6 separate regions of the Mus musculus genome follow, and regions 1, 2, 3, 4 and 5 are each reported to be linked to region 6. Evidence: microRNA targets listed by miRTarBase, many of them from high-throughput screens and not tested one by one. Region 6 holds a microRNA gene; each other region holds the end of a gene's coding sequence.
The links. The annotated mature microRNA mmu-miR-301b-3p reads CAGUGCAAUGGUAUUGUCAAAGC and lies in region 6 at 3,044-3,066, shown strand. An mRNA with a match to its seed (bases 2 to 7 or 8) in the 3' UTR can be bound and repressed. Matches are read on the target gene's strand: a 7mer-m8 pairs with bases 2 to 8, a 7mer-A1 pairs with bases 2 to 7 and ends in A, and an 8mer does both.

Region 1: miRTarBase lists Ywhab as a target of mmu-miR-301b-3p. Seed matches in the 3' UTR shown: 7mer-m8 at 3,361-3,367.
Region 2: the mRNA of Pi4k2a is a reported target of mmu-miR-301b-3p. The part of its 3' UTR that is shown has no 7-base or 8-base seed match.
Region 3: the mRNA of Ro60 is a reported target of mmu-miR-301b-3p. Seed matches in the 3' UTR shown: 7mer-A1 at 1,285-1,291.
Region 4: miRTarBase lists Camk2n1 as a target of mmu-miR-301b-3p. The part of its 3' UTR that is shown has no 7-base or 8-base seed match.
Region 5: the mRNA of Reps2 is a reported target of mmu-miR-301b-3p. Seed matches in the 3' UTR shown: 7mer-m8 at 4,398-4,404 and 7mer-m8 at 4,343-4,349.

Annotation. Positions count from the first base shown.
Region 1 is chr2:164,016,224-164,021,297 of GRCm38, reverse strand. Ywhab (tyrosine 3-monooxygenase/tryptophan 5-monooxygenase activation protein, beta polypeptide) reads right to left here. Exons shown (of 6, transcript NM_018753.6): 6 at 2,711-4,629. The coding sequence ends at 4,573. Among named protein-coding and RNA genes, the nearest start is that of Pabpc1l, 6.5 kb to the left of the region's middle.
Region 2 is chr19:42,119,170-42,124,243 of GRCm38, reverse strand. It overlaps Pi4k2a (phosphatidylinositol 4-kinase type 2 alpha), which reads right to left. Exons shown (of 9, transcript NM_145501.2): 9 at 2,026-4,451. The coding sequence ends at 4,290. Avpi1 (arginine vasopressin-induced 1) reads left to right here. Exons shown (of 3, transcript NM_027106.4): 3 at 396-969. The coding sequence ends at 555. Among named protein-coding and RNA genes, the nearest start is that of Avpi1, 7.3 kb to the left of the region's middle.
Region 3 is chr1:143,753,530-143,758,603 of GRCm38, reverse strand. Ro60 (Ro60, Y RNA binding protein) reads left to right here. Exons shown (of 9, transcript NM_013835.2): 9 at 710-5,074. The coding sequence ends at 862. Among named protein-coding and RNA genes, the nearest start is that of Glrx2, 16 kb to the right of the region's middle.
Region 4 is chr4:138,456,430-138,461,503 of GRCm38, forward strand. It overlaps Camk2n1 (calcium/calmodulin-dependent protein kinase II inhibitor 1), which reads left to right. Exons shown (of 2, transcript NM_025451.2): 2 at 289-3,697. The coding sequence ends at 359. Among named protein-coding and RNA genes, the nearest start is that of Camk2n1, 3.8 kb to the left of the region's middle.
Region 5 is chrX:162,412,999-162,418,072 of GRCm38, forward strand. It overlaps Reps2 (RALBP1 associated Eps domain containing protein 2), which reads right to left. Exons shown (of 18, transcript NM_178256.4): 18 at 1-4,613. The coding sequence ends at 4,545. Among named protein-coding and RNA genes, the nearest start is that of Reps2, 230 kb to the right of the region's middle.
Region 6 is chr16:17,122,412-17,127,485 of GRCm38, reverse strand. It overlaps Mir301b (microRNA 301b), which reads left to right and starts at 2,990; the gene lies at 2,990-3,086. 2610318N02Rik (RIKEN cDNA 2610318N02 gene) reads left to right here and starts at 2,284. Exons shown (of 7, transcript NM_001358255.1): 1 at 2,284-2,496. It overlaps Mir130b (microRNA 130b), which reads left to right and starts at 3,344; the gene lies at 3,344-3,425.

The DNA of each region.
Region 1 (5,074 bases), not on the chromosome of region 6:
ATTCTCTGTTATGTTCCTCATCTTAGCCACTTCTGCGGGAGGGCTGAGGTGGTCCAATCTTCTTCCAAATGGGGTGAAATCACTGAATCCTCTTCCCCTGCCACGCCAACCCTCTCGCTGGACCGTGTACCCCTTGAATGAGCTAACGCATGGTTTGAAAGCCTTCCCTCCAGAGCAGTGGCTCTCAACCTTCCTAACACTGAAGCCCTTTAAGCGGCTCCTCGTGGAGTGCTGACCCTCAACCATAAAATGATGTCCTTGCTATTCATTTGTTACTGTAATGAATCATAACATAAACATCTGACATGCAACCCCTGTGAAAGGGTCATTCAACCCGCAGACCCACAGGTTGAGAACTGCTGTTTTAGAAGCTCAAAGGCACCAAATTTAGTTTCCAGTCCGCCCAGCTCAATACAAATACTCCATTTGCCCATTAAGCAACCACGAAAAGCTATCCTTGGGCTTGTCCTTCCCCTAGAACCTCTCAGGTGTCTTAACACTCACTCTGTAAGTGCACACTATTCATCACTCAGACCTGCCAGCCTCTCCTGCCTTACAGGTCAGATCCCACTTCTTGGTTTCTTGTTTGTTTTCCAAGACAGGGTTTCTCTGTGTAGCCCTGGCTGTCCTGGAACTCACTCTGTAGACCATGCTGGCCTCAAACTCAGAAATTTGCCTGCCTCTGCCTCCCAAGTGCTGGGACTAAAGGTGTGCGCCACCACTGCCCGGCAGATCCACTTCTTGTACCAGCAAACCCACTAAAGGCTCATACCAGTCCTGGGGGGGTCACTGCTAAACTAGCTTCTAACTCCATCAACTGTCTGATCCAGGTGGTGCATTGTGCACCAATCAATTCCTTTGCAACAAGTTCTCAGTTATACCCTTTTCCAAGAATTTCCATTTTCATCTTAAACGCATTAGTGTGAGGTATCAAATTCTCTGGAATTGGAGTTACAGCTGTGAGCTGCCATGTGGGTGCTGGGAATTGAACCCGCATCCTCCGGAAGATCAGGCAGTACTCTTGACCCCTGAGCTATCTCTCCAGCCTCTAAAGCAATTTTTTTTTCTTCCTTTATGTGTTTTGCCTGTATGTTTGTGTATCATGTGCATGCCTGCTCTGTAGAGGCCAGAAGAGGGCAACAGCTCCCCTTAAACTTGAATTACAGGAAGTCATGATAAGGGAATTCAATAAGGGTCCTCTGAAGTGGTCCCTTATCCACTGAGCCATCTCTCCAGCCCTAACGACTCCCTTTTCAACGCCTTCCAGTTCCAAATATTTGTGGCAATTCCAAGAAATAACCAAGTGTCCTTAATAGTCCACATGAGCTGACAGTCCACAAGGGACCAATTCCCTGTTGTCGCCGACATCAGCCTTTTTCTCAGGAAAGGAAGGGTAATCTCCATTTTCATGACATAGCTCCACCCCAACTTCCCCCATGCTCCACAGCCTCACAGACAAGCTGTTCATCTTTCATCCTTTTGTGGAGGGTGTGTGTTCTATGCACATCATGGTGCATGTGTGGTCAGAGGTCTTCTCTTCTTTCCTCCTGCCATGTGAGGCCTGGGAATCAAACTCGGGTGGTCTGGCTTAGCAGCAGGTACATATTTTGGGTTTGCCCATGAAGCCTTAGGCTTTCTCCATTCAAGTTGTTCAGAGGCACAATAACCTGATTAGCACTTGCCTGTCAGGGCTGTTACTAAGGCCACCTCTGCGTGTTGAGCCATGGACCTTCCCTTCCTCTGCACTCGCAACTCTTCCTGCGGGTTCCACATGTTTAGATCCGAGGTGCATCAGTTGTATAAAACAGTCCTCTACCTCATCCCTCCCTTTCCCCCACTTAACACACAGACAGCGGGTAACATCCATTCTTCCCACTGGAATTCCTTCTTTAGGAAGGGGAATTCTGGACTGGCGGCGTGGCCTCAGCCGCATGTCTTTTTACCTACAGCATGGTCCACTGCAACTGACACTACTGCCTGCTTACAATCCTGACCCACAAATACCTTCCGAGACTGTAACATACTTTCTTGTCCAGCAGCTGCTTGTTTGAGGGGGTATAACACTTACCTGGAAGACCCTATTACAGAGGCAAACAGCCACTTGGGGGTTTCCCTGACACTTGGCTCAGTTATATGTCTTATCACCTATAGGTGGGGCTATTACCTACTTCTTCCAGGCTCATCTTTGGTTTGGTGAATGGAGTATCACAGGCCTTTTCCTAGGGAGACATGAAGACACATCTGTTCATTCCAGATAGGGATGATACTGAGACTGAAGAAAGGATTCCACCCACGTCCAGTTTGGCAAACCAGTTGAGTTTTACTGGGCTACTGACAGGACGGAGCATAGTGGGCTCTAAGGCAGCTGCATCACTGTCAGGTCCCCTGCACCTTTAATGGTCACACCACCAGCAGTGCTGTCTGTGCCTGTCCAGCCCAAGTGCTCATGTGACCTTACGGAACACGCCCCACCCCCTCGAAAAGAAAGGCGAGGGAGGGTCTTGCACAGGCGATCATGGCTGCTCTGGTTCAAGCCGGCAGTGATCACATCCAACTTATCAGAGACAGCCACCTAAGACATCTCTACTGCTGGTTCTAAGGGGTGAAGTAAAAACTATTTACTCTTTAAAGAAGAAGCCAAAATTAAACGGGATGGGAATGGTCCTGAGAACGAGAGGGGTGGCGGTGACACATCAATCCACAGGCAACTAACTGATAAAATGTTTTATTTCACTTTAAGTTTTTACATTTTCCTGATTACTCTGTGTAAGGTGAAACTAGAATGTTTAGACATACACGGATCTAGCACATCAGTAACTGGGGTTTCTTTTCTTTTTTGCTACACTATTTTCACAATCACGGGTGTGCTTGCTAGGCAAATAGAACCACCACAGAAGCAAACATTAGGCAGAATACTGGTAAGGGAAAAAACAAAACAAACAAACAAACAAAAAACCAGAGCAAAGAGCTACCAGATATACAGACAGGCTTGGTTCCACACTCACTACTGCGTTGTCAAGCGCCAAGTATTAACTGCACATTTTTTTTTGTTCAGCTAGAAAGAAGAGATTTTTTTTGTGGGTTTTTTTTTTTTTTTTTTTTGGTTTAAATCAGTGCATGAATTCTTTTCATATTTCAGCAGATGGACAAACAGATGGACTATGTCTACGGCTACATGGAATGTCAAGGTAGAGGGGTGAGACTGTGAGACTGAAGGCCTGGCTGTTCTTGGTTGTCTCGACTGTAGTGTCCATGCAACTTCCCTGTGTTCTAAGGTCTTGTTGAGACGTGTCTGAGCACGAAGCTAGATGAGTACACTGGAGGGTCTGGTGACAGGCACTAACAAGATTGTCAGGGCTGAGTGCAATAGGGGGAAATCATGGAGACTTCAAAATACTTTTGTTTGTTTGTTTGTTTGTTTTGGATGAGTCACACTATGAAGAACAACTGTGCTGAGAACTGGAGGAAGGCAGGGTGGTGGCACTGGAAGGTCTTCTTTCTCAACACCTTAAAGCAAAGCTTGCTCACCCTGTGCTCAACACCCCGCCCTGTCCATACAGTCCTGACTAATACAGGCTTCCAAAGAAAACCACCCAAGGAAGCAGAAAGCTGTAAATTTAAAGAGGGAAAAAAGTCAACAGTCAGAAGGACAGGGCGGAAAGAACGTTAAATTTCAAAGCTTCCACCCTCCAAGCTAGAAGAACCCCAAGACTATGAGTGCTCCTCAGGCGAGAGGCCGCCTCAACACATTATTCTTAAAGAATCATCCAGAAAACTGGTCTGGCCATTTGTAAGATACACTGCTTTCTCTCTTCCTTCCCCCTCTCCTTTAGCTAGGGGGTAACAGCCCTGTTTTCACACGCTGCTAATCAGGAACACACTGCTATAGTAAAGGGTTTAGTCACACAGGTGGTATGAGCACGGGACCTTTTTTTATTGTGGTGACACAGCCCAATTATCGGCCAAAGAAGTTCACTTTCAGGTTTTGAGTTTCCTCAGAAGACACTGCAGATATTTGTGGTCATGAACTTTTGAGTGGCAACAGCCCTGAATGATCAAGGGTTGGTAAGCCCTCAACCACAGGCAGAATTACTGTGAGTTACCAAACTCAGGATGCCGGTGGTCAGCATCTCACCAAGTCCCAGCATCACCACAGAATCTCTAGAACTTTCTGTACAGCTTTACAACAGAATTGTATTTCAGTGACCATTTTGATATCAGATTAAACTTTCCAAGAAGTTACACATAATTCAGGTCTATTTTTCCTACCAGAAAGAGTTCTGCTAAGTTATAAAACCCCATGATCACAGTGTTCAGTTTGTAAAAATTAAACACACAGTAATCCTTGTCAATGTTGATCAAAATCAAGACTTCACAATACCATGGTATTAAGGGACCAGTCTGAGCTTTAGATACAAATACCAGCTGTTCATCCCAGGGACCATCTTTGCAAGGCTTAGGCTGTGAAAAATCGAAAGTCCACATTCGATTTTTTGTTTTTGTTTATCGCACAAAGGGACATAATGTGGAGGATACAAAGTGACACAAACAGATCACAGAGCACAACAGACATTAGTTCTCTCCCTCTCCAGCATCTCCTTCATCCCCCTGGTTTTCTGACGTCCACAGCTGCAAAAGAAAAAGAAACAAAAAGCTGTAATAAAGTTAAGGTCATTCCAAGTTTTCTTCAAGAGGAGGTCCAGTATAGCTTACCTCACTTAATTACCATTGTGAAAAAAACTAAAATGTTTTCCATGTATGGGTGTTGTGCATGTCTGTCTGTGTGCCTTTTGCATGCCTATGTCCTAGGAAGCCATAAGAGAGCACTACATCTCCTAGACCTGAAGTTCCAGGTGGCTGTGGCTGCAATGTGAGGGTGTGGCTCCTCTGGAAGAACAGGCTGAGAACCACTGAGCCATGTTTCCAGGTCCCTCACTCAACTATTCAAAATTCCCTCTTACCACAGACAATGGTGACTGACAAGGCATAAAGTCCAGCAGTAAGATACAGGTACTGTACTTAACAGAGTACAGAGCCGCCTGCAGCCTTGGATAGCGGTGGACTCGTTAGGTGC
Region 2 (5,074 bases), not on the chromosome of region 6:
TCTGAACAGATCCTCCGGTCTGAGATGGTGAGTGAGTCTTCACTGCTTGCACTAACTGATGTCATTTATGCCTGTCTTACACAGTGCCATAAAAGCCAGGCTGAGAAAGTAGGGAGGAGCCAGGCGGTGGTGGCACATGCCTTTAGTCTCAGCACTCAGGAGTCTGAGGCAGATGGTCTACAGAGTGAGTTCCAGACAGCCAGGGCTCTATGAAGGAGAAAAAGAAGGTGGGGAGAGACTTGTTGAGTGTCCCACCCCCCAATCCAGCCCCAGCCTCTTAACGTTCAGTTTTGGAAAGGTGCCATACAGTTCTTGGGGGCAGACCGTCCCCTTTTATAGACCCTCCTGCTCTCTGTGCTGACACTGACCTATCTATCACACACTTGTTTTCACAGAGTGCCGGAGCCTGGTTCTACAGCGTCTGACCCCCAGGCCAGCACCACTGACACGGCCTCCAGCGAGCAGTCTGGGAACTCCCGGAGAACAAGTGCTAGAGCCCCCCGGAACTGGAATAAGCCAGGCCCCACAGGTTACCTCCACCAGATCAGACACTGACTGGTGAAGGGTGGGGAGGTCCTCCCCAAACACTGCAGGGACTTTGGCCAAAGGGCTTATGGAGTTGTAAAAAGGACATCTGAGCAGGCCCTGTGTAGGTGAAGAAGAAAGTGGTAATTGGAATGCCCTGAGTTCAGCTCAGAGCCAGCATCTGTTGGACTCTGCACTTGTGGGTCCTTCTTACCAAGGGAGGCAATAGAGGCTGGTCACGCATCAGCCTTTCTGACCTAAAGGTGTAACTGGGCTGCATGGCGTTCCTCTGGAATAAAAGTATTATGCACTCAAATGCAGTGTCTCACCATCTCTGCATCTCACTAACTTGACAGTTAATGTCACCACCCAGCCATCTGTTTTGTGCCACAGGCCAGTGCAAAAGGGAAACTTGTTTAAGTGGAAAATAAAGACATTTGCATCAAGATTTGTCAGAGTGTGCTACAGAAGGGGAGAATCCCAAAACCGACATAGCCAGGTTTGGAGGACAGGATATTCTCCAGGACATAGATCTGGGCTGGATGCTTGTGCTTCTGTAATTACAGCCCTGGGCATCCTGGTACTACAGCTTCCTCTTCCAGAGGTGGGCAGGGTGCAAGAAAAAATGAGGTCTCTGCAGATAGGCCTGATCCAAAGGAGCAGACCAGGGGAAGGGGAGACAGGTCAGCCTACATCAGCTCCACACTGCAGCACTTGGGTCCTAGGTAGTGTGTGTAGTTGCTGGGAGCATCATCTGTCAGACGGTACCATCAAGGGTCAGGACTGATGTAACAGGCGTGAGATGGGAGGAGGAGGAAGAGGGTCAACTTGGCAAAATCAGAAAGGAATGGCTTCTGTCCGTGGGCCAGTGATGGACCTCTGACCGCTCAGTTCATGGAGTAAACAACTGCGAGGTATCAGAGCGCCTGTGTCTGAGCAAATTTAGGTTCTAAATTAAGGGCTTCTGATGTGAGAGGATCTAATGTAGGTTTTCCTACAAGCATTTAAATTTGTTTTTGTTTTTGTTTTGTTGAGTTTCTGATGCAGAATATATTAGATCTGATGACACAGGAGTAAGAGCTCTTCCCATTATTCCAGACTATGTGCTCATTAGCACGACCCTCTCCTTGCCAACCCCCATCCCCCAGGAACAGTGATGATCCTATACGGCAGGACTGCCCTCTGATGGCCATGGATAAAAGCCAACCTCTCCTAAATTTGCATCTAAACCAGTGGCTCTCAACTTTCCTAATGCTGCGACTCTTTAATACAGTTCTACTCATGTTGTGGTGACCCCCAACAAATTACTTTGTTCATATTTCAAAACTAATTTTGCTACTGTTATAAATCATAATGTAAATATCTGTTTCCCGATGGTCTTAGGAGACTCCTGTGAAATGGTTATTCAACGCCCCCCCCCCCCCAAAAGGGTTGCAACCCACTGCTCTATACCTAATCCCAGAATTCTGACTGTAAGGAAGTAGCCAGGGCAAACACTATAGTAAATATTCATACCAAAAGCAAGTATGTGTTTTATCAATGCAGACTCATGTCAGTTTTTGAAATGTCTTAAGAAAACACTTGGTTTTCAAGAGTCAAGTCCCCATAACTCCACAGAAATGTGTCTTTGTCCTTAAAACTGCATTTATCTTGTCTTTCTTCCCCCAAAGGAAACTGGACAGAGAGGTCAGAACTGGATTTGTTATTCATACATTTGCATTGATTTAAATACAATACATACAATTTCTACAGTGCATTAGAAGAACAGGGCAGCAGCGCTCACCAGCCAGCTTCAGCTCCTAGACACAGGGGACAGGCCTAAGGCTGGCAGAGGGGCGGCTGTTCTGAAGTACCTGACACTCTGGGCTCCTGGCACTCCCAAGTCCACATTCAAGGCAACTTGAGTACAAGCTTCGAGGGAGGGAGGCAGGTAAGGCTGCCTGCACCCTTGCCCACTGGGCCTGGCACCGGCCCCCTCTTCCATTGGACCCAATTTCCTCCTGATGGCAAACCTGGTCTGGGGCAGGACTAAGTTCTCTCCAGCACTCCAGGGGGAAGTCTCGCCACCCGGCTGGTGTGGAAACATCTGTGAAGACCGGCACACACCTGGACCCCTGCTGGCTCCTGTGGCGAGGAGAGAGAGAGATTCTCTCAAACAAGGTTCTGAGGCCAGAGTCCACGTGGGCTGGATGGGATTGTCAAGATGGGGCAAACAACAGCGACTGTCCATTGGGCATGCATATCCAGTGCTTGGAGATTCATGTTGCTGAGTGAAAGCCCATAGCAAGCTGGCTCCTGGGTTGGAATGGGCAGGGAGCAGCCTGCCACACCTGACAGAAGGCTGTCTTCAGCCCTGCCTCTAGGCGGTGGGAGCCCGGCAAGCAGCTGAGGCACAGTTGTGCTCCTCACTCCAGGTCTTTGGTTGTTTCACGCCTTCAGGACATTTCTTTCCAAGGCTGACTGACCAACTGTAGAGTGTGAGAACACTCAAGGGTCCACAGCACAGGGTGTGACCACTGCCGCTGCCTACGGCCTCTCGGCCCCCTTTTCACTCCCTCCTGAAGTCAGTTCTCTGCTTTGGTGTAGAAAGGGTTCAAACACCTGGCAAGGGAGAAGACATGGAAGCAGGAAGATGCACGCTGAGCTGGGCAGGCACTGGGGAACTGTCCGAAGGCCTCTCTTCAAGAAGCTGAGAAGAAACCATCCCAAGACGGAAGGCAGGAGCCAAGGGGCACGCCGGTTAGGGGGCAGAACACGGTCCTGTTCTCTCCAGGCAGCAGCAGTTAACACATGAAGAACAGAGATGCTGTCCTGGCTGCCCATGAACCTACTGACCCACAACACCTACTGAGAGCCACTCCAGAACCCAAACTGAACTTCTCATTTTAAAATGGGGGAAACTAGACTACCAAACAGAAAGGTAGGGAAGGCCGCAACTAAGGACCAGGAGTGAGGCTGTGCCAGGCTCCCACAGAACCCTCCTAGCACCCAGCATGCAACCAGGCCAAGTCAATCACCTCCGCGTCACACAACCACTCCTGGCAGAGCACACTGCCAAGGCTAGCCCCTCCCACCTCAGATGAGTGCCGGGCAAGTTACAGCAGGGCAGAGAAAAAGCCTGTGTGCAGAGCCTTAGAGGAGCAGAGCATGAACCTGCTCACTGCCACACGAAGTCAGTACCAGTGTGGCAAGAGGAGGCTCAATTTGGCAAAACCAGAAAGGAATGGCTTCTGTCCGTGGGCCAGCGATGGACCTCTGACCGCTCAGTTCATGGAGTAAACAAGTGCTAGGTATCAGAGCGCCTGTGTCTGAGCAAATTTAGGTTCTAGATTAAGGGCTTCTGATGTCAGAGGATCTAATGTAGGTTTTCCTACAAGCATTTAAATTTGTTTCTTTTGTTTTTGTTTTGTTGGTTTCTGATGCAGAATATATTAGGTAACCTGGATGGAGAGGGTTGTCAGGGAGAGATGGGACTTTCCCAACCAGCCACCAAATGCTAGGAGGGAGTGGCTCCTCCTCAGCCGCCTGAGCTCCTTGCCTGGACAGGAGCCTCCCCAACACTCTGAAGGTCCAGGAACACTCTTGTCCCCCCATTGTGCTTCTCCCTGTGGGTAGGAAAGCCCTGAGGGAGGTGACAAGCAAAGAGGAAGGGCTCTGAAAGGCTCTGCTGTGCGCCCGCCAGCTTCTCTGGCTTCTGCGAACCTGGGACTCCAGGCTTCCTCCCAGCCTGTCACCTGCAGGATTTCTTCTGCCTGCCTCTGGGGCTACCACCATGAAAAGAAGGGCTTCCGACTCTGAAAGCTCTGTGTGTAGGATTCGCTTGCAGACCGCTGGTGAGAGCGGGCCGTCTCGACAATCACAGGTGGCATCTGGACGAGGTGCAGGGGGCTCTTATTGTCTTTCAGGGCCTGGGTCAAATTTAGGATCTGCATTGAAAAGAGAAAAGGTGAAAGGCCTAGTATTCTAAGCCTGCCTCTGCAGTGTCATCCTTCATGTCAAAAACAAATGCCAGCGGAAGTACCATGGAAGCAGGCTAGTTCCAACAGTAGGCATGTGAGGCTGGAGAGGCAGCTCAGTGACTAAGAGCAAGTACTGCTCTTGCGGATCTGAGTTCAGCTCCTAGCATCCCTGTCAGGTGGCTCACAACCACCTCTAACTCCAGTTCCAAGGCGTCTGATGCAATACTAGGTCACCACACTCACATGCACAAATACACACAGACACAGACACATAATTTTAAATGAAAATTTGAAAATGTGGGGGCTAAAGAGATGGCTCATACTTAAAAGGCACTGATTACTCTTCCATAGCATCTGGGTTCAACTCCCAGCATCCACATGGTAGCTCACAACCACCTGCTATCCCAGTTCCAGGGGATCTGACCTTTGTTCCTGGCCTTTATGGCCACCATTCATACAAGTGGGGTACAGATAAACATACAAGCAAAACACCCATACAATAAAATAAAATGATCCTAAATTTCTTTTTAAGAAAGTAGGAATCTGAATAGGCATTCCATGGAAGTGGGCACCACCTCCCTGACAAGTTT
Region 3 (5,074 bases), not on the chromosome of region 6:
TATATAGTGATACCTTGTCACAATAAATGAATAAATAAAGGCTGGTAGAGTAGTTGTCTACCATACATGAAGCACGAGGCTCGATCCCCAGCCCTGCATAAGATCATGGTGGTACATAACCTACAGTCTTAGCATTTGGAAGGCGGGGCAGAAGTATCAGAAGTTCAGATCTTCTTCACCTACATACCAGGTTTGCAGTCATCCTGAGCTACATGAAATCCTGTCTCAAAGAAAGTTTATCCAAACAAAAACCTTAATTTCTTAATTATTAAAAAAACATTTTAATAGATTTATTATAATAACTGACAAAACTATACTTTAATTGATTGTTTCTTCCGAAATATTTAGTGATTTTAAATACATACCGAGAGACTGGGAATATAGCTCAGTAATTCAGTGGTAGAGAACTAACCTAGTATGTGCAAGGTCTTGGCTTGGTCCATAGTGCAAAGGATGGCTAAGAAGAATAAAGAGAAACAGATGGGAGGTGGACCAGGAAGTCAGACAGAGAGAGGGGACAGAATTAGAGTTCTGAAGAGCACAATCTATTTACTGTATATATTAAAATTGGAAGTTGGACTTGGTGTAATCCAGCATTTTGGTAGGAGGAACCATGGTTGTTCTAGTCTTAATTTTCAAGGATTTTTTTGTTTGCTTTTCTTGCATATAATTTCATATGTAGTTACTTTCTCTTATATTTTCTCTACAGAAAATGGATATTCCTGCTAAATTGATTGTTTGTGGGATGACATCAAATGGCTTTACCATTGCAGACCCAGACGATAGAGGCATGTTGGATATGTGCGGCTTTGATACTGCAGCTCTGGATGTAATTCGGAATTTCACATTGGATGTCATTTAACCCTGAGTACCAGAATGATCTGAGAGGGGCACTGCTGTAGTGGTTTTCATTGAAAATACACAGCCACTTCCCTGCTAGACACAGTAGTGAGAAATGTCATCAGTATGTGCATGATAGAAATGCACTTTGGCAAGAACAGGAGAAGACAGAAGGAAGGAGACAAAAGTTGAGCCCAAAGGTGCATGTACTCAGCTAGCTCTTGAGAAGTCTTCAGGATACTGTAGCTTCCTCTGTAGAGAACTTCGTTTTAATAGACACTGTACAATAGTGGTGTTTTACTTCACTGAATCACACCTTTGTTCTGAAAGTGTGATACAGAGTATAAGTAGCCTCACATCATGTCACTTGTATGAGAAGTGTTTCTTTTCTTAAATGTCTTCATTGGAAAACGACAGTTTTAATAATGTCCAAATACTCTGAGGTGCACTAGACCATGTGACTGTGATGGAAATGAACCTCACCAGGTAAATTTTTATACAAAGGGGTTTAAAAAAAAAGACATTTGGTTAAACTAAATTATGAATGAATTTTACAAATTCAGAGTTTTCTAAGATCATATGAACAACAGCTTTCTTATTCAATGAAAAAGATGTTTTCCTTCAGATGTTTCATTTGTACTTGTTAGGATTTGTTACTATTTGGGCAAAACAGGGTGGAAATCCCTAAGGGACTTGTTGAGTTTATATAGGCTGAGGAATTTGCTTTGTAGCCTTGTGTTGGCTGAACAACAACAGTGTATCATGTACTTCCGCTTTCCTGGGTGTTTCATGTATGTAACTCCCCTGTCCATAATCCTGACAGTGTAACAATTAAAACTCTACTGTAAAGACATAGATTTTCTGTACCCCTAAAATACCTTTAACTAATTTTCATATTTTTCTAATATTTAGTCTGAAGTCTTTCATATTTTTGCCCCCTATGCATTTTGTGTCTAGTTTCTTTTTTGATAGAGTAGAGAAATAATACAGCAAGCTAGATCCTTCTAGTTCAAAGGCAATTTTAGAGTAGCCATATCAACCAATCAGTGTATGTAGAAAATCTAAGAACTGATTTTGTACAAATTAAACTTCCTTTTCACCATATTAAAATACATTCTTTTCTTGAGCAATTACATGTTTTCACTGGGAAGCTTAGCATGAGAATGGCCTATTGAAACACCAGTAGTTTTTCTCTTGATTCAGTAATGGTATCTAAGGTAGTTTATACTAAAACGCTAATTTTTATGTATTACTCTTTAAATATTAAAGGTTTACTGGGGGCTTATAAACCCTTTCAAAACTAGTATGTGTAGGTTACATAACCTTTTAAGTGTTTAGGGGAGTGAAGTTCTTTTATTTGGGAGAGAAAGGGGCTTTGCTAGTGTGAGGATTTATGTACATATTTTCTTTCCTAAGAAATTTAGTCTCAGAGAATAAGAAAATGTTCCCTTCAGATGATTTGAGTTAATGAAGTTTCATATGTAGCCATTCCTCCTGACAGTAACAAATTTTCAGTGTTATTAGCAAAGATAGTATCAGCTCCAGTTCTAAACACCATTGCTTCTGATGCTGTTCTGGCTTGACCACTGTCACATCTTAACTAATTCTGATACATTAAAGTTTCATGTTCAAGTTGAATTTAAAGCTTTAAACCCTAGTAATTACATGAGATCTATTGAATTCTTTAAACCCAGGATCTAAGTTTTAATATGATCTAACTTATTATGAAATTTACATGCCATATTATATAAAAGCTTTTTTCTTATTTTTAATGCTACTTAGATAATGCTTTTAGGCAAGCAGAGTATATCTAGGAGCTAGTATTTAACCCATAAGGGAAATAAGGGTCACCTCCCGGCAGCCCTCCTACAGTATAGGTAAACCTAATTAAAGAGATTAAAATTGAATACAGAGGCCAAGTGTGGTGATGCATGCCTTTATTCCTGGGAAACAGAGGCAGGTAGATCTCTTAAGTTAGAGGCCAGCCTGCTCTACATAGTGAATTCCAGACCAGCCAGGGCTACATAGTGAGACCCTGTCTCCAAAAAGAAAAAAAGGTTTAAGAGGCAGAGGCAGGCATTTTTCTGAGTTCAAGGCCAGCCTGGTCTACAAAGTGAGTTCCAGGACAGCCAGAGCTATACAGAGAAACCCTGCCTCAAAAAACCATTAAAAAAAAAAAAAAAAAAAAAAAAGTCCCAACAGATAGAAATCTTATCTTCAAATTGCAAAACTTCAGAGTAGAAAGAAAATTTAGAAAAAAATGTATTTGATTGATAACCAGAAACCAGTCTGGATCTTCTGGATGTGTGTGTGATGGTTATTTTGTTTTGTTTTGTTTTGTTTTGTGACAGGGTCTCTCTCCATAGACATAGTCCTGGCTATTCTAGAGCTCACTGTGTAGACCAGGCTGGCCTTGAACAGAGAGCCTCCTGCCTCTGCCTCCCAAGTGCTAGGGCTAAAGGTGTGCAACACTATGCCCAGGGTAAGGCTGGATGGTTTTGGAGAGGGGTCTGCCTCTCTACTCAGCATTCTGGCTTTTAGTCTCTCATCCATGGGACATGTTGACTTTGTAAGAGAAACAGTAGAATTATGAAGCCTTTTACCTAATTTAGACGTTAGGAATTGATTAGGAATTGATGATATGCATGATTACTTTAGGAACCTGTGAATGTGTGTGATTTGTTTGTTTGTTTTGATTTGGAGTAATTCTCAAACACAATTATGTCTCTGCAGCCTATGTTGCTATGGAATCTAGCCACATAGCAAGGCATTATTACCTCATTAAGCATAGGATACCCTCAAGTGGTAAACAAGTTTTCTTTTCCAAATTACCACTAGGGTGACTCTTAAGTAAATAGTACGGAAAATACTGCTTTAAAAAGCAATCTTAAGAAAAGTAAATGTTATTTCCTAGATACTATGTAAATATTTCTAGGATTTAGTTGTTACTAATAACACAAAACACTAATCTTTTCATCTCACTGTTTTTGATTAGTGGATAGTCCACGTATTAAAACTGTTACTTAGTAACTGTTTTCAGGGTGTGTTAGGAAGGGATATGCTAGTAAGTAGAACTACTCCATCCTTTGGAGCTTCTTGGTTTTTTTTTCATGTGCTGTGTCATTATGAACAACCAGTTCAACATATGTGGTAAAATTCTGCTCTCCTACAAATTCATGTATCTTAGTCTCAGATCATAGAAGAACAAGCTGTTTAATATTTACCGAATATTGAGAATGGAAAAGAGGCCTTTCATTACAAGTCCAAACTTCATTTTTAATTATAAACACTAAGATGTCCTTATCCCTGATAAAAAGGATATATAAAAAAATATATTTAAAAAAAAAGAAAGCAAAGCTCATAGTCAAACTAGGACCATGCTATTACTCTTACTATTACTAGCTTATCTATTACTTCCTTACATATTACTTTATTTGAATAACAATAAGTCTACAGCAGACAAACTGACAGGTTGCTTCTCACTTTCCTAGACTTCGACAAGAAAAATTATACCAATGTAAATGTAAGAATCTAATGATCTTTAGAAGCACAGGAAGTGTACATCTAAGCAGGAAATGAAAGCTAAATCATTGTAAATTCTTTGAGTTATTTTCCTGTGACCTAAACATTTTGTCCCAAGGCAAGCAAGATAGTCATCGTGGGTAAAGACACTCACCACCAAGTTTGATGAATGGTTCCCAGTCCCTGGACCCCACAAGGTAGGAGGAGAAACCAGTTCCTGCCGGTTGTCCTCTGTGCCATGGCGTGCATGGGCGTGCATGGGCGTGTAAAAGTGAAAAGAAGTGCTGCTACAGATTTGGTCTGTGTTGTTGTGTGGTGTGCTTGTAGTCAAAGTAACTCAAGATGCAAAATCGTCTTGGATTCCATTGGTTTTGTTAGGGTACAAGTTGTCATCTTAGAGAAATGTCACACAGCCAGAAGGAAGGATCAGCAAAGATGACAGGTTCTTTGTGAGACAAGCCGGTGTTTAACTCAGAAGTTATTGTGTTCTCTTGATACCTGCTCCATCATCTCTTCTTCCATGGAAGATTACTTCTCGCCCATTTTTCTCTTTTGCAAAGTCTTCTCCCATTTTTGCCTTTTATTCCTGTTTGATCCAGTTGGGTAATAAATTGCAGGACCAGAAAATCATCCACAGTCAGGTTTGGGGCGAATCTACTGCAGGTTGTTTTTTTGTTTTATATAAATTTAAGAGTATATTTTTCAGAGTTGG
Region 4 (5,074 bases), not on the chromosome of region 6:
AGGGTTGCATCGGGTTGCAGTCGAGCTGGGATGGCTCCCTCTGGCTTGCTCCTTCTTAGAATCCATCTAGGATGAGGGCTAGGCAGTGGGGCAGTTCAGAACCAGGCAGGGAAGGGAGCCTAGGGCAATGGGGCTGTTCACCCTGCTTGGAACAGCCAGCCTTCCTTCCTCGCCCTCCCCTGCACCTCCATAATGGGGATAGACAAAGTATCTGCGACCCCTGGCTAGCCCAAGCTCTCTCACATTTCTCTTCCCCTCCCCCCCCTTTTTTTTTTTTTTTTTTTGCAGTTGTTATTGAAGATGATAGGATTGATGACGTGCTGAAAACCATGACCGACAAGGCACCCCCTGGTGTCTAACTGCCCCAAAGACAATGTGTTGAGGGAAAGAATAAGAAGAGTGGCGGGCTGTGACAGTTACTGACAAAAAGCACGAGGAGGAGGAGGAGGGAGAAAGCACTTTGAAATTTATTAATAGCTTGCTACCTGCGATGAAATCGACAACTTGTGTCTCAAGTCAGGCCGGGAGACAGATGAGGTGGAGAGGAGGAGGAGGAGGAAGAGGAGGAGGTGGAGGTGGTGGAGGTGGTGGTGGTGGTGGTAGCAGCGGTAGCGGTGGCTCTGGGCTCCTCTACAAAAACAAAAGTTAAAAAAAAACACACAAAAAGTAAAAAAATAAAATAAAAAAAATAAAAATCACTATATACACACATATAAAAGAAAAAAGTCTCAGTTGCAGCTATTTGTCAAGATTAATACCTGTTTCTTTTTATATATGGTAAATATTGTGCAATTATAGCTCTGGAGTTTGAACCACTTCCCGAAAGCAGCACCGACCACGTGAAGGTGCTTGCCTTCTCTGCTGATTTGGCTGTTCCCAATGTTTACATAATTTCATCTGTGCACTTGGATGTGACATGCGGTCTAGTCCAGTTTTTTTTTTTTAATGTTGTTTATTCTTGGATGTACAAAAGAAAATTGGGGGCAGGGGAATGACCTCTGTAGATACTGTTGTACTTGGGTCATCTTTGAATGAACCCCATTTTAAAGCAGAAAGTAACTTTTCTACGGACTGATGCTTTGGGAAGGCCCCTTCCTGGTCTTGTTTTCGAGAGACAACTGAAAAGCTTGCGCTTCTTTGTTGCAGTACAGCTCTTTGCCCAGGTTAACACCAACAGTGGGTTTTATATGTCAGAAAGAAGAAGAAGAAAAACAAAGACAAACTTGCTTGAGCTTTTTCTAGCCTCCCTGGGGGCTCTGTTGAGTGAACCCCTCTTTCTTCTTCAATATTGTGTCACTTTATCCATTCTCTTTAATGGACTGTAAAAAAAAAACAAAAACAAACAACAAATGTAATCACAAGAGTGCCAAATATCTTGAACCGCCAAAAGGCATTTTGGTTTCCTTTTGTCCCCTGTGCTCTGAGTCCTGTGTGGGAACACTTGGAGAGTCTTTTCTGTTATTTATAGGGGTTCTCTTAAGGCTCGCCAGCTGCCTGTTTTGCATGGTATTTGCAAAAAAATGCCTCTTGCGTGAGGAATCTTTTACCTTTTTTTTTTTGTTCTTTTAAATTATTTGTTTGCAACTTTGGACCTCAAGAGGTCCCCACCCCTCCCAGTTCCTTCTTTTCTTAATTCTCTATTCTGTATGTTGCACCTTGAACCAGCACACAGGGCTATTTCTCCAGTGTACAATAAAGAACTCTTCCTGTGTCTACTCTTTCGTTAGCCTTGTTTCTCAGGGACTGGAATACAGAGATGGTGGCTTTGGCCTGTAGGATGAAACAGTTTGTGTGCGTTGTTGGGGGGTTATCAGCCAGTGGGCTGGATGGGTCAGGCTATCCCCTAAGAATGGCAGAGTCAGTGGACTTTGAATTTTGCAAATGGCTCCTTCTGGATTCCCTGAGGCTTGCTTGGGCCATCCTGTTGGGTTGGGAGGCCGCCAGTCCTGTGGAGACTGAAGCTGGGAGACTGGACTTGGGTTCAGGTTCTAGCTCTGACTGCCTTACTCTCGGAACTGGAACTTCTGTAAACATCACCTGCCTGATCTGCAGAGACCGATGAACTCAGCTGCTGCCTCTTAGGGTCAAGAAGAGGAGTATCAATCCTCGGCACACCAGAACCTTCCACATTGGGCCGCCGCTAGCATCCACTAAACATCCAACCCGAGACCCAGTTATGGACATACGTGTCTCTACCACTAGAGCCTACTGTTACATGCTTGAGGATGAGTCTGTTCTCTGGGGATGCATGGGGGGGGGGGGAAGTCCCAAAAGTTTCCAAGCACCTGCTGTACCTGCCTCTAATCACCCATTAGGAAAAGTCTGTTGGGCAGGGTGGGGAGGTAGCTCCAGTTCTCTTTAAACTGGAGGCAGTGATGAGGGGTTCAGGTTCTGTAGGGAGAGGACTTGGGAGGAGGGGTTTTGGCTCAAGGAAGAGGTCCTGTGTCCCCACCTCCTTGCCTCCTACCCCTCCCCCAACCCTTGGGATGTTTTGCATGTAGAAACCCCACTGCCTGGAGCTTTTAATGTGTTTGTTTTAAAGCTGTCAGCCAGGGAGTCACAACACAGCTCACAGTGACAGGAGCTTGAGTATGACTCAGACATCAGGTAAGAGTCCCCACGGGGTGGGGTGGGGGGACTGCAGAAGAGGAGCTCCAGGGGGCCCCAGGGAAAGGAGGGCAAATGTCTTATCCCCCTTCTTAAGTCTGACAGCCTCAGCAGGTCCCAGCCTGGGGTTCTTCATCCTGTGGTCATTACTGGGACTGATGGGGGAGCTGGAACTGGCAGTGCCCAGCCTGCGGATGCAAGCGGATGCCAACTTCATTTCCCCAGGCGCACAGTCCTCTTCTTGAATCTGGCTGTCTTCCCTCTTGACCCCAGGCACTCCCTTTTGGACTTGAAGGTCTATAGGCTCCATTAGAGCCAAGAAATGCAATGTACTGCTCCCCTCCCCAGAAGGCCGAGGGGGTTACTGGGGGAAAGGATTAGAGCTAGGGCCTGCTTTTTGTTCAAATAATAATCTGCCGAGAGGGACAGAGGCCAGGCAAGAAGGTAGCTTTAGGGATGTGGTTTCTGGTACTGTAGTCACTGAGTACCATCTCATGTGGTTGTCTCAGCACTTCTAGAAACCCAGTGACATTCACTTACCAGTTACCAAAGAAGCTGAGGTCTCAGGGAAGCAAGAAAGCTTTCCCTGAACACCAGACTCACAACAGCCCAGAAGAATGGGTGGTGTTACCTGGCTGCACAGTAGATAGCGTGTCTCAGAGAGGGTAATTCCTGCCAAGCGCCTCAGTTTGATAGCTGCAGAGGCAGGATTGGAACCCAGAGCCCACCATCTGGGATGAAGATGCAGACAGACTGGCTCTGTTCCGGCTTCAACGGTTGTCCTTCAGCCTTTAAAAGTCCTTGTGTTGGTGTGTCTTCCGCAAGCTCTGCCCATCTCCATCATCCTGCACAACTTGAGACTGCATCAGGGGTCAGAAGGAGGCAGTGTGTGGATGTGGTCAGCCAGCTCCTGGAGCTGCCCCGCGCCCTGGGCCAAGGCTGAAGGTCCATTTTAATAAGTGATGTATTAAAACGTTCCTGCTGGAGGCCACTGGGCAGCAAAGGCAGTGCCTGCCTCAGCCTGGAATGAGTCTGCCTTTCTAGAGACCTCCATTCAGTAGCAAGGAAAATAAATCTCTTAAATATACTATAGTATTGGGTGAGCATTTGTTGAGAAGGTACTTTGGGGACTCTGCAGATAGCAGATATACCATGTGCTGGGTATGTCTGAAGTATCTGGAGAGGGCAGCAATGAATATGGAAAAGGCTATTAAAAGATGGAGGTGGGGGAGGGTGACTCCAAACCTCCAAGCGTGGACCCGGAGCATCCAGGGCTGCGTCCTGCAAACTTAGCTCACTGAATGTTTTCAATAAGCATCCGTATGTATCCCTTGATTCTGCTCCTGTGGCCTACCCAGGCGGATGGGCTGCAGGAATATCAAAGGGATCTTTTCAGGGAGAACTGACAAATTACATTTGAGAACAGAGAAGCTTGAAGAACTCCTGTCTGCCACAGATGGAGGGATGATCCTGGGATGCCCCTGCAGGGAAGACAGCAATTTCTAGGTGTTCAAGGACTGGTGGCAGGTGGATTCAGGACTTAGTTGGTTTAGACTTGAACCCTTTTTCCTAGCTGTGAGTGGGGTGGGGGTGGGGGCATGACTTAAGGTCTTTGGCTTTCTGGTTCTTCTATAAAATAAGGATGGTAAGAAATATCAGGACAGGTTAAATGGGAACTTCTGTCTCCCCAGTATGTGGCCTGATACTCAGATAGGGTATGAGCATCCAGGAAGTACTTCCTATGTGTCAGGCAATGGGTGGCCAAAATCACTGGAGAAGTTCTTATAGTTCAGCATGTTGTGTCTTTAGCGTCTATACTCAAAGACAGACTCTCTTTGGGGGTGGAAAGGGCAGGAGACTACTTGAGGAGATGGGAATGGCTTGAGGGAATCAGTCTTCCTTTCTCGACCTCCATCAGTTTCCCAAGGTTCCTACATAAAGTCGTGTGCTTGCTCCCCAAAGGCAGTGTTTCCGGAAGCCACGCCCCCTCCGTTCCCCCCGCCCCCCGCCCCCCAACCCCCACCAGCACCCAGCCTGCCTGAAGTCTTCCTTCTTTGGATGGGAGCCATGGGGCTGACTTGTCAAGGGGAGGGATCAGCTTAGGCCTCTGCATAGGTCACTTCCTTAGACAAGAAGACCTCAGGCTTCATTTAGTGAGTACTGATTTCGTGCCTGCCTTGTGTTAACCTGGTATAATGAAGAACAAACTAGAGGCTTGTCCTGGGTTCAAAAATAATCGTTCTCCTCCAGGGATGTGAGACTGGGACAGAGGGGTTGTGCTGACAAGGTTTCTGTCAGCTTGACACAAGCTCTCATCATCTGACAGGAGGGAACCTCTGTTGGAAAAAAAAATGTCTCCATAAAATCCAGCTGTAGGCAAGCTCATAGGACATTTTCTTAGTGATGGATGGCGGGGGTGGGGGGGCAGCCCACTGTGGGTGGGGCCCCCCTGGGTTGGTGGTCCTGG
Region 5 (5,074 bases), not on the chromosome of region 6:
TACACAACGGCTGCTTCAAGGCATATTTCTAAGACTTCTGCTGGGCAGCAGCTCTCAGAATCCACATGGATAGTTTTAAAGTCTGATCCTCCTTGTGTACAATTCTTCAGAGGTTCAAATAATTAGAGACAATTCTTTTCACAAACAAGCAAAGCAAAATGGCCCACAGAAATATTTATGAAAATGGCCATCGGTGACCAACCTGTCTATGTTGGTGGCATGTCTCCATCAGCCTGCTGAAAAGGGAAGGAAGCTGTGAGGCTGAGGACTGCACACCTCCAGATCTCTGCTTCTCACTAGGAATGTGAACCACACTGAGTCATGACACAAAAACTCTAACACCCACAACTAAAGTACAAATTTAACTGATGTGTTGAAGTCTGAGTTTTAAGGGAACATTTGAAATAGAACTATTCAGCTAGAAAGAGAAAAGAAAGACACTAGTGTTGTATTTTGTGAGAGGAGAAGATTTCTTTAGCCACTGCTTCATTTTCTTCACACCCTCGATGTTCAAACCACAACCCAATGAGCCTCCTTGTCAATCCCATCAGGCAATCTGCTCAGGAGAGATAGTACATTCCTGTTTTTACACTTGTACATCCACATTCTCATGATAATATCAAGTCAGAGGTGTGATGGTAGTTTGTGTTGAACAAATGTTTTGGCTTTAAGGTGTTAATACTATAATTGAGCTCTTTCTAACTACTGCTTAGAAAAAGACATTTGCAAGTGTCTTGAATGCAAGAATCACATTAATATCAGATGTTGTCTAAGTGATCTTCTGATTATGTACCTATTATGGCCAACGTTATGAGACCATCCAGGATACAGAGAAATATTTAGAAATACTAGACAGTCAAAACACGGCTAAAGAATCATACTATTTTACAATAGTTTAGACATTGGTGGGAAGTCAAATAAAAGTTCATGGTTTTGATTACTTATCCCTAAAATGTGTTCAAATGAATCATTTGTGAGTGACCAACAATATACTGGAGAAAAGTATAAGCTACTACATATTGAGTTCATTTTTATCACAGTAGTCTATTTGAGAAAGCATGGGAATATGCCCATGGGAATATGCGGCTGGAATCTATTGAAAGCAGTAGCTTTAGAAAGTTCTGCCAAGATTTAAAGGAACATACTGCATCATCAAAAGTGAAGCATTAGAAGAATGGTTTAATAACATTATTTCCACTCAAATTTTATTTTTTTTTAAAGCGGAGAGAAATATCTAAATCTAAAACTCCTTAGAAGATGCTTTCATATCTACAGACCAATTAAGTCAATAAAATTCAACATGATAAATAAAAAAGGCTTTCTAATCTACTTTTAGGATAGACAGAGGACTACCTTGGAATCTATATAATCAGGCTACATCCCAATTCTACCACTAGCTATTATTGTGGATTCCTGGGCCAAGAGTCCACAATTATTAGGGATGGGATTTTCCCATGCTAGCTATAAAAGAGGAGCACTGGTCCTGCCTAGTTCTAATAGTCACACAGCACAGCTTCCATCTAAGCTGGCTTGTTTCTCAATTAGTCCCAAACACTTGTCTGATGCTTATAAAGTGCTTCGTCTTTCCAACTAGAACAAATATCTGCCTTGATTGTCACATTACACATCCATTCTTGCTATTTATCATTCAAGCTCTGCTTTAGGTTTGTGGATAGAAAGCCAGCCAAAGCTGTATGCTACTTACTAGAGATGCTAAAAGCCCCAATAAGCCCATGATCATTTCCTACTTTGCTTTCATCTGTAGGACTGGAGAATCCCCATGCAAGAACACCATTGAGCAATAGGGCAATTAAACCCCCATGAATGGAGACAAGGTTAACCTTCATGCTATAGAATTCTGCAAAACAAGCAACTCTTCATCTCTCCTCCTTCATCAAAGAAGCTTCTTTTTGTGGAAAATGGAGATAAATTCCAAAGTAGTTCTACAAGTGATATCAATGTATCTGCCTTCCTATATCATATTAAAGGCTCTCAAAAAATATTATCAGGCACTATAACTCTAAAAGTGTACATCCTAAGAAAACACAGAAGTAAAGGATAAATACTAGTCACATAACATGTATTTAGTAGTGTATATTTAATAGAAACACAAGTATTTTCTTTTAAGAATCTATGTATAAGCAACTACTCAACTGATCAAAAGTCCAGCTAAAAATACTGTGTGTGTGTGTGTGTGTGTGTGTGTGTGTGTGTGTGTGTGTGTGTGTGTGTGGTGTGTGGTTTAATGCAATGCCTCAGTTAAAATATTGGTGATGGGCTGAGGGTATGGTCCAGCATTTGCCTAGGATGAATGCTGTCCTGGGTTTGATCCCAGCACCACAAGAAATATATTGGTGAGGCTTCATTGTCCTTGATTGTCCAATGCAAGTTTTATCCTTTAAGGAAAACAAAGCCAACTAAATAAAATTCCAATCTCTTCAACCAGTTCCCTGTATCGTTTACTTCATGAGGGAAGCAATATGTCAGTGTTTTTTAACTGCTCAGTGGACTAACATTCCTTAGGTTATGTCTGCTTGGTGGATATGAAGTGCTCTCCCACGTGAGTGTATATGCACTGGAAGATCTTGAGATAAAGTGCATATGTTAGTCTTTCCTCTATTGAATGTACAAAATGCCAAACATGCTGTAATCATAACACAGCCCTCCCATCCCGGCACATGGAAAAAGGAAGTCACCTGGAATCTGTACTGACCCAACCATAATCTTAGGGGGGGTTAAATCATTCCTGAGCCCTCCCCACAAGAACAACAAACAAACAAACAAACAAAAGGCAGCCAAAGGAAAAAAGAAATGCAGAAACTGTTCAAGTTTCATGACTTTCCAAATCAAATCAGATTCAAATCCTTAAAATATGCATGGAAGAGAGTCAACAATTTGTTTTTCTTTGGAAAAAACATCATCTGTTTGAACTCTTCTCTTCTGTTGTTAAGCTACTGATAAAGCTTGCCAAAGGAACAGGGAAATATTAAATAAATGCCTATTTTTACTAAAAGCTCTCAGCTCTATTGAAATCAACAGCTTAATCTTACATATTGTAAATCTATCCAAAACCATTTCAAAAGTACCCTGTGCACACTAATGCTAATATTAAAATGCCCTGTTGAAGATCAGTGATTCAGGGACCCTATAACCCTACAGGTCAGTCATTTCCTACTTTCAGCTGGACTGTATTACGACATTTCGACAGGATAGTTGCTTCTGTAATTTAAGCTTGCTTTGTATCACTTCCACTAGAGTTAGCTGAGATCCCCTGAACTGTATATAAAGTTAATACTTCCCAAGAGTACACTTCACAGAGAACAAGTAGTCATGTAGCTGGTGGGAAGATTGCATTCTTTCATTGTGTCTTCAGAAGCAACACATCTGAAATCCAGCCTAAAATAAAGACAACAATGACAACAGCCAAGGATTGTTGCAGAGTTAGTGGCTATTTTTCTTCCCTTCTCAGCCTGGATACCCGGATTCAACAACAAATAGGTAGCTATCCAGCTACTAATATTTGTTGGGTGGTTTCCAAGCTTATACATTTACAAAGATGTTATCCCATGCAGGATAAAAGCAGAGATCTGGCAACTATTTATTTAATTTGGTCAGGCAAGGCAGTTAAAGTAGATTGTGCTTGCACAAAAATTTACATGAAAAGGACTAAGTTATCTAGGTTGATGGCCTAGATTGGCCAAGTTAAACAGTTCATTGCCAAAATTCTCTACTTCACAGAGGTGTAAAGACCCAGTAAGGTTCTGATATTTAATAGAAAACAATAGTCAGATATTATGTATAACTGACATAATATCAAAATGGTACTACAGAAGCAGTTTTTGGCATATAGTGGTAGAGGGCACAGTGCCAGTGTAAATCTGATGCTTTAATTGTATTCCAGCTTTTGATTTTATTATCATCATGCCTAAGACTATCCAGCTGGAATGCACACTATTCGGGAAACCAACATACTGTATGTAGCATACATATAAGAATAAAATGGGCATGAGCATCCTGGAAGTACAGCATTAATAGGTACTGTAGAATTATAAATTCTTTAAATAAATAATGCTCCGAATTATCTGCTAAAAGGGTAACTTAAATAAGGAGCAGTATCTAAAAGTGGTTAAAATGGGAGATAAATTCCAATGATAAGTATATTTTTGAAATGGGATTTAGGATTAAACTGAGGCTTCCTGTATATCAGGCAAGCACTCTACCACTGAGCTATACACACACTTCTCTTTTCACTTTCTATTGGAGACAGTGTCCCAACAAGCTTCTAAAAATGGCCTTGAGCTTATGACCCTTCTGCTTTATCCTCCGAAGTATTAATATTTTAAGTGCAATGATCAGTTGAAGACATATTTTACTACCACTGTAAAATACACAAGTGAAGTGCAAAAGAGAAAGTCATATAGATTGTGTTGTGCTGCTGACAGCTTTTGACATTCAGACATATATGACAAGTAGTTGGGCTTAAACACTCAAAAGGAAGATCTTGGCAGACAAGGTCACCTGCTGTCACTCAAGCCTCTAGGATGTCACAACACTGTGACTGGGCGAAGTTGTTCCAATTGGTTTTCCAATGCGATCCGTTCTTGATGAACTTCCTAAATTATACAAAACAGGAGAAAGAAAAAGAAGAAAAAGCATCATTTCGTGGGCTCATCTCTATTTCTTTACACGTTCAAAGGAAATATAGAACCAACCCTCAAACACTTGGAGACAAGTGGCCCAAAAGGCACTGATTTCAATGCTAGGGATTAGACAGTGGGGGATTCCCAGTCACTAACCTCAGCCACTGTACTGCTCAGCACTGATATGTGTTAACATAGAGTGGAAGCCTCAAAACAGCCATCTCAGCTACAGGAATGGGCAGCTAAGTTCCAGCATGATCACATGGCACTTCGAGCATGGTACAACTAACCTACTTCATAGCACACCTGATAAAATTTTCTTTGCAACCCTGCCTTAGCCTCGGTCTGCTTTGATAGGCTCAGAAGATAGTAGAGAATGGCATTAAATATTAAAAAGACAACAGGAGAAAACTAAAAGAAAAAGGCAGACTCCC
Region 6 (5,074 bases):
CTAGAGGTGGGGGAAGGAATGACAGATTTCCTGGGCTTGACTGAGTAGGTCATAAGGACTTCAGGGGAACTAGTAGGATGATTTCCTGAGGGCCAGGAAAAATCCTAAGAGGCTGAGATGACAGTTGGCTGGGAGGGACTTGGGATAGTGTGGGAAGAACTGATAACATGGATTTGAGAAATCAGTTGACTTTACTAATGTGTGGATGAGAGAAAAGCTGTAGTCAATTTGAATCCTGAGGGGAGGGAGTTATGTCTTGGACCATTACTCCCCTGTCTGTAAGAGACTTGGTCTTTCCACTGACAAACTTTTATTTTGAGACAGGTTTTACCATGCGACCCTGGCTAATCTGAAACTCGCTATGTAGCCTGGTCTCCTTGAATTCATAGAGATCCACCTGCCTTTGTCTCCCAGGTACTAGGATTAAAGATGTGTACTAATGTGCCTTGATCTATTGCCAAACTTTTAAATGCCATTTTAAAGTGTGTGTGTGTGTGTGTGTGTGTGTGTGTGTGTGTGTGTGTGTGAATATGAACATGAGTTAGGTGTCCTCAGAGGTCAGAAGAGGGTGTTGGATTTCCTGGAGCTGGGACTGCAGGTGGCTGTAAGCCATCTAGTATGGCTGGGGAACTCATTTAAGTCCAATTTTAACAGTTCTGCAAGAGTAGTACTCGATTTTGACAGCCATGCCATCAATCTCTCCAGCCCCCAAACTCATGGAGCAGAAAAGTTGCTTCCATGCAGAATGCAAAACATTACAAATGAAAAGCACAGGAGCAGCAGCAAAACACTTTAATTTTACATTTGATTTTTATTTTTATGTGTATGGGTGTTTTGACTGCCCATATGTCTATGCATGCAATGGCTTTAGAGACCAGAAGACGATACTGGACTGGAGTTACAGATGCCTTTGAGACAACTTGTGGATCCTGGGCATGGAACCTGAGTCCTCTGGAAGAGCAGCCAACCCTCTTAACCACTGAGCCTTCTTTCTGGTGAGCCCCCTCTCTTTAAAGACAGTATTTCATGTAGTTCAGGCTGGTCTTGAACTTCTGGCTCTTTTCTCCACTTCCCAAATGTTGGAATTTCTGGATGTTTTATTTTGTATCTGTGTGGAGCGATGCAGTGTGGTGGCTGTATCCCCAGTACTGCAAAAACCTAGGAGGATTACCATAAGCACAAGGCTAGCCTGGTCTACTCTGTGAGTTCTCAACTAGCCAGCCGTGATATACGATGTCTCAAAAAACCAGCATTCTTTTTTTTCCCAAAGAAGACAAAACAATGTAGGGACTGAGATATTATGGGTCAGTGTTAATAGCATTGGTTGCTCTACCAGAGCATATGGGTTTCATTTCCAGCATGCATGTGTTTGCTTACAATCCTCTATAGTTTCAGTTGCAGAGGATAGAAAGCCTTTTGACCTCCCTGAACACTAGGCATGTACATGGTGGTACAGACAGGCAAACAAAGCACCCATACACAAAAAATTACATTTAAAATTAAGTGGACAAAATGAGTTCTTGAAGATCGAAAACCAGCTCTGTCTGCTTTAAAAATATTTTCTTTCAGCCTTTGAGCTGGGGGGTAAAGATTCCCTGTCTCATATGGATATAACTAGGGGTAAAGCTCAGACGCCAGCTGCAAAACTCTGTTTTTCCCTTCGCTGACAGAACTGAGTAGAACACCTCAGGTTCTGGGTGCTAGGTGCTGTGTATCTTTGGACATATTAGCTCAGAAAGGTCACTTAATGAACTCTTACCCATAAAGTGGTTCACATTCTCAATGACATCAATGACATCAGAGCATTTCTTCACTTACAAAAAGTGCCAGGGCCTCCTCAGCCCAGCCAGAGGTTTCCTGATGACGATGCTCTGAAGTTGGACAGAAAGAGGGAAGGCCACGGTTTTTAAGTAAATGTCCCATCCTGGAGGAGCAATGAACAAATTTCTCGCGAAATACGAAGCATCCCCTAGGGGTTCATTCAACCGCTGGCTTGGCCAAAGGACACTTTGCCGGGATCTCAGAGCCCTCGCTAATTTGGTGAGCTGTGTAGTAAGCATGGACGCGCCCTCATGAGTATCACTATAATAACTACAGAGAAATGAGCTGGGAAAAGGCGGACAGAGCTCCTTTTCAAGAGTTATGAATGAGGAGAAAGTGTTTGTAGAACTCATTGTTAAAACGGTGGAGCCAAAACTCGGGCGCCTGGCCAATCGGAGCCTGGAGGCTATTTTGAAATCTTTCCAGCAGCAGCCAATAGGTGCGCAGGAGGCAAAGCTTGGTGTAGGCGCAAGCCAATGAGGCTGGCGCTGTGCCTTGAGGCCCGGGGCTCGGCCCTCGGGACTGTCAGATGGTTAAAGATGGAGCCGAGGGAGAGAGGGCGCCACGAGGTGCTGAGGTGCGGGGTTGTCCAGATATGACGGGGCCGCCGCCTACCTGGATCTTCCACTAAGCTTCACCTTGTCCCCCTGGTGAGAACAAGAGGTGTCTGTCCACGTGAGTAACTGGTCTGGGATAGGGTGTGCGGTGAGGCCAGGGAAACTCCAGATGCCAGGAAGCCCTAGTTCTGCTCTTCTAGGCAGGAGAATCTGTTAGGATAGAGTGCAGAACTCATACTGGGGGAATGGACCAAGGACCGGATCTCGGACTCCAAGGGCCTCACGTGCAAGGAGTGAAGTATCCCTCTTATTCTAGTTCTGGTCTGAAACAGGGTACAAGTAGTCCCACTGTGCTCCCCTCTGCAACTGAGCGCAGGCCTCTCTCCTTTGTGTTTGAGCCCCCTCGGGTGCTCGCCCTTCAGCTCCCTCCTTGGAGTACCTCACCAGAATCAGAAGCCTGTTAGAGAAAGTTTGAGTTCCCTGAAGTTAATAAGTCCAGAGGACTGCATCCGGGCTGGAATCCCGTCTGTTCTCCGAGCTTGGATAGATGTCCCACCCACCCATGGTGGTTGAATTTCCAGCGCAGCCCTGCGTGCAGCGAGGGCGATGGATTTCCTGCTGGCTGCGGGTGCTCTGACTAGGTTGCACTACTGTGCTGTGAGAAGCAGTGCAATGGTATTGTCAAAGCATCTGGGACCAGCCTCGAAGACCACCTCACCTACTGTTCCTTCTTTCTTCCCTTTCCAGGCCTGGCCCCTCAGGCCTGCAGGCCGTACCCTCCCCCTGCTCATTTTACTCTCTTCTCCATGGAAACTTGAGATTGTAGCCAGGCCCGTGTCTCTGGGGTCAGAGGGCATCCTTTGCTCAGGCCGAGGCTCCGCCCAGGTGGGCATGCGTTCTAGGTCTAAGATCCCACTCCAGCCACCCCAACTCCCCATGCCCCGCCCCACCCCGTGAGACTGACAGGCTTGTTGGACACTCTTTCCCTGTTGCACTACTGTGGGCCTCTGGGAAGCAGTGCAATGATGAAAGGGCATCTGTCGGGCCAGCTAAGGAGCCTGAGGAACAAAAGGGTCAGTGCTTGGATCATAGTCTTAGATAGAGATAGCTATCTCTAGCTAAAAGGATAAGGTGGATGCTGAGAACCATATTCCAAGGCTGGAACCAGTACAAAGGGGAGACCCCAGATTTGGAAAGGCTCCAGTCTCAAGCTCTTAGCCCCCTCCCCCCAGGTTAAGATAGGGGAGTCTGCTGCAGGGGGCGCGGCGGTGAGTGAATGGTAGGTAGCTCATGCCTTAAATCTCAGCACTTGGAAGGCAAAGGCAGGTGGATCACCCAGATCTAGGGCATCCTGGTCTACATAGTGAGTTTTAGGACAGCCAGGGATACACAGAGAAACCGTGTTTTGAGAAAAACCAAATTAACTAATTAATTAATTAATCAATTAAAAAAGAAAGAAAGATTGGTGAGCCCATGTCTGGAGGCTGATGCAGGAAGATTGTCTCAGTTTTGAAGCTGTCTGAAGAATCAAAACAAAACTAGGAACTCCAGGACCTTGTGGAGAGAAACAGATGTTCACCTCTTTGTATGGAAAAGGTTTGTATACCTTGCTTAGCCTTGACTGCCTCGGGAAGAACTGGACTCAGCCTTTCCTGAGATAACCACACCTTGGGTTCACACCTTGAGGCTCAGAAGAAGTGTCCTGCCTGGGCCAGATGGATGGACTTGGAACAAGAAGCCTGCAGAGTAGGCCTGCCAGCCATGTCTGCTTGCTCCTTTACAAAGAGGGTATGTGCTGAGTAGGAGAGGCATGGAGGTGTCTGGTATGTCTGCTTTCCAGACAGGGCTGGAGCTCATTTTTATTTATTTATTTATTTATTTATTTATTTAATTTATATGAGTGCACTGTAGCTGTCTTCAGACACACCAGAAGAGGCCATCGGATCCCATTACAGATGGTTGTGAGCCACCATGTGGTTGCTGGGATTTGAACTCAGGACCCCTGGAAGAACAGTGCTCTTAACCACTGAGCCATCTCTCCAGCCCTGGAGCTGAATTTTTAAGGATGCCCGATCCTTAGTGTGCTTGCAGAGTTACCTTTAGCGGCAAGACCCAATGGCCCATGCCTTTGAATGCAGCACAGGGAAGGCATGGGTAGGTAGATCTCTGTGAGTTCAAGGACAACCTGGTCTACCCTGCACGTTCCAGAAGAGCTATATTTACATGGTAAAGCCCTGTTTCAATGCACCCACCCCTCTTTTACAAACAAACAAAAACCTAGTAGGAGGTGGTCAGGCCTGCCTCCTTGAGAGGAGGCCCAGGCTTCCAGATTCCCTTTTGGGAATAGATTGAGAAAATCAGCCTTAATAGTACTCTAGCTCCACAAGTCCTGGCACCCATGGGGACTGCTCTGATACATAATGAGTCTCAGGCCTGACGGAGGGCTTTGATGGGGAAGAAGCAACCACACTCCTTTGTGGCTAGGGTAGACGTGTGTCAGCAGCTGTTGCCACAGCAGATCCATCCTGAGGTGCTAGGAATCCTAACATGTGCATATCTTACATATCTTACATGTGCATATCTTACATATCTTACATGTACATATCAGGGGAGGTCTGGGCCGCAAAGGATTTAGGTTGGCTAAGTCACTTCTGTGAATTTGAATTGGCTCAGGGTGTAGAACACTTGCCTATTAT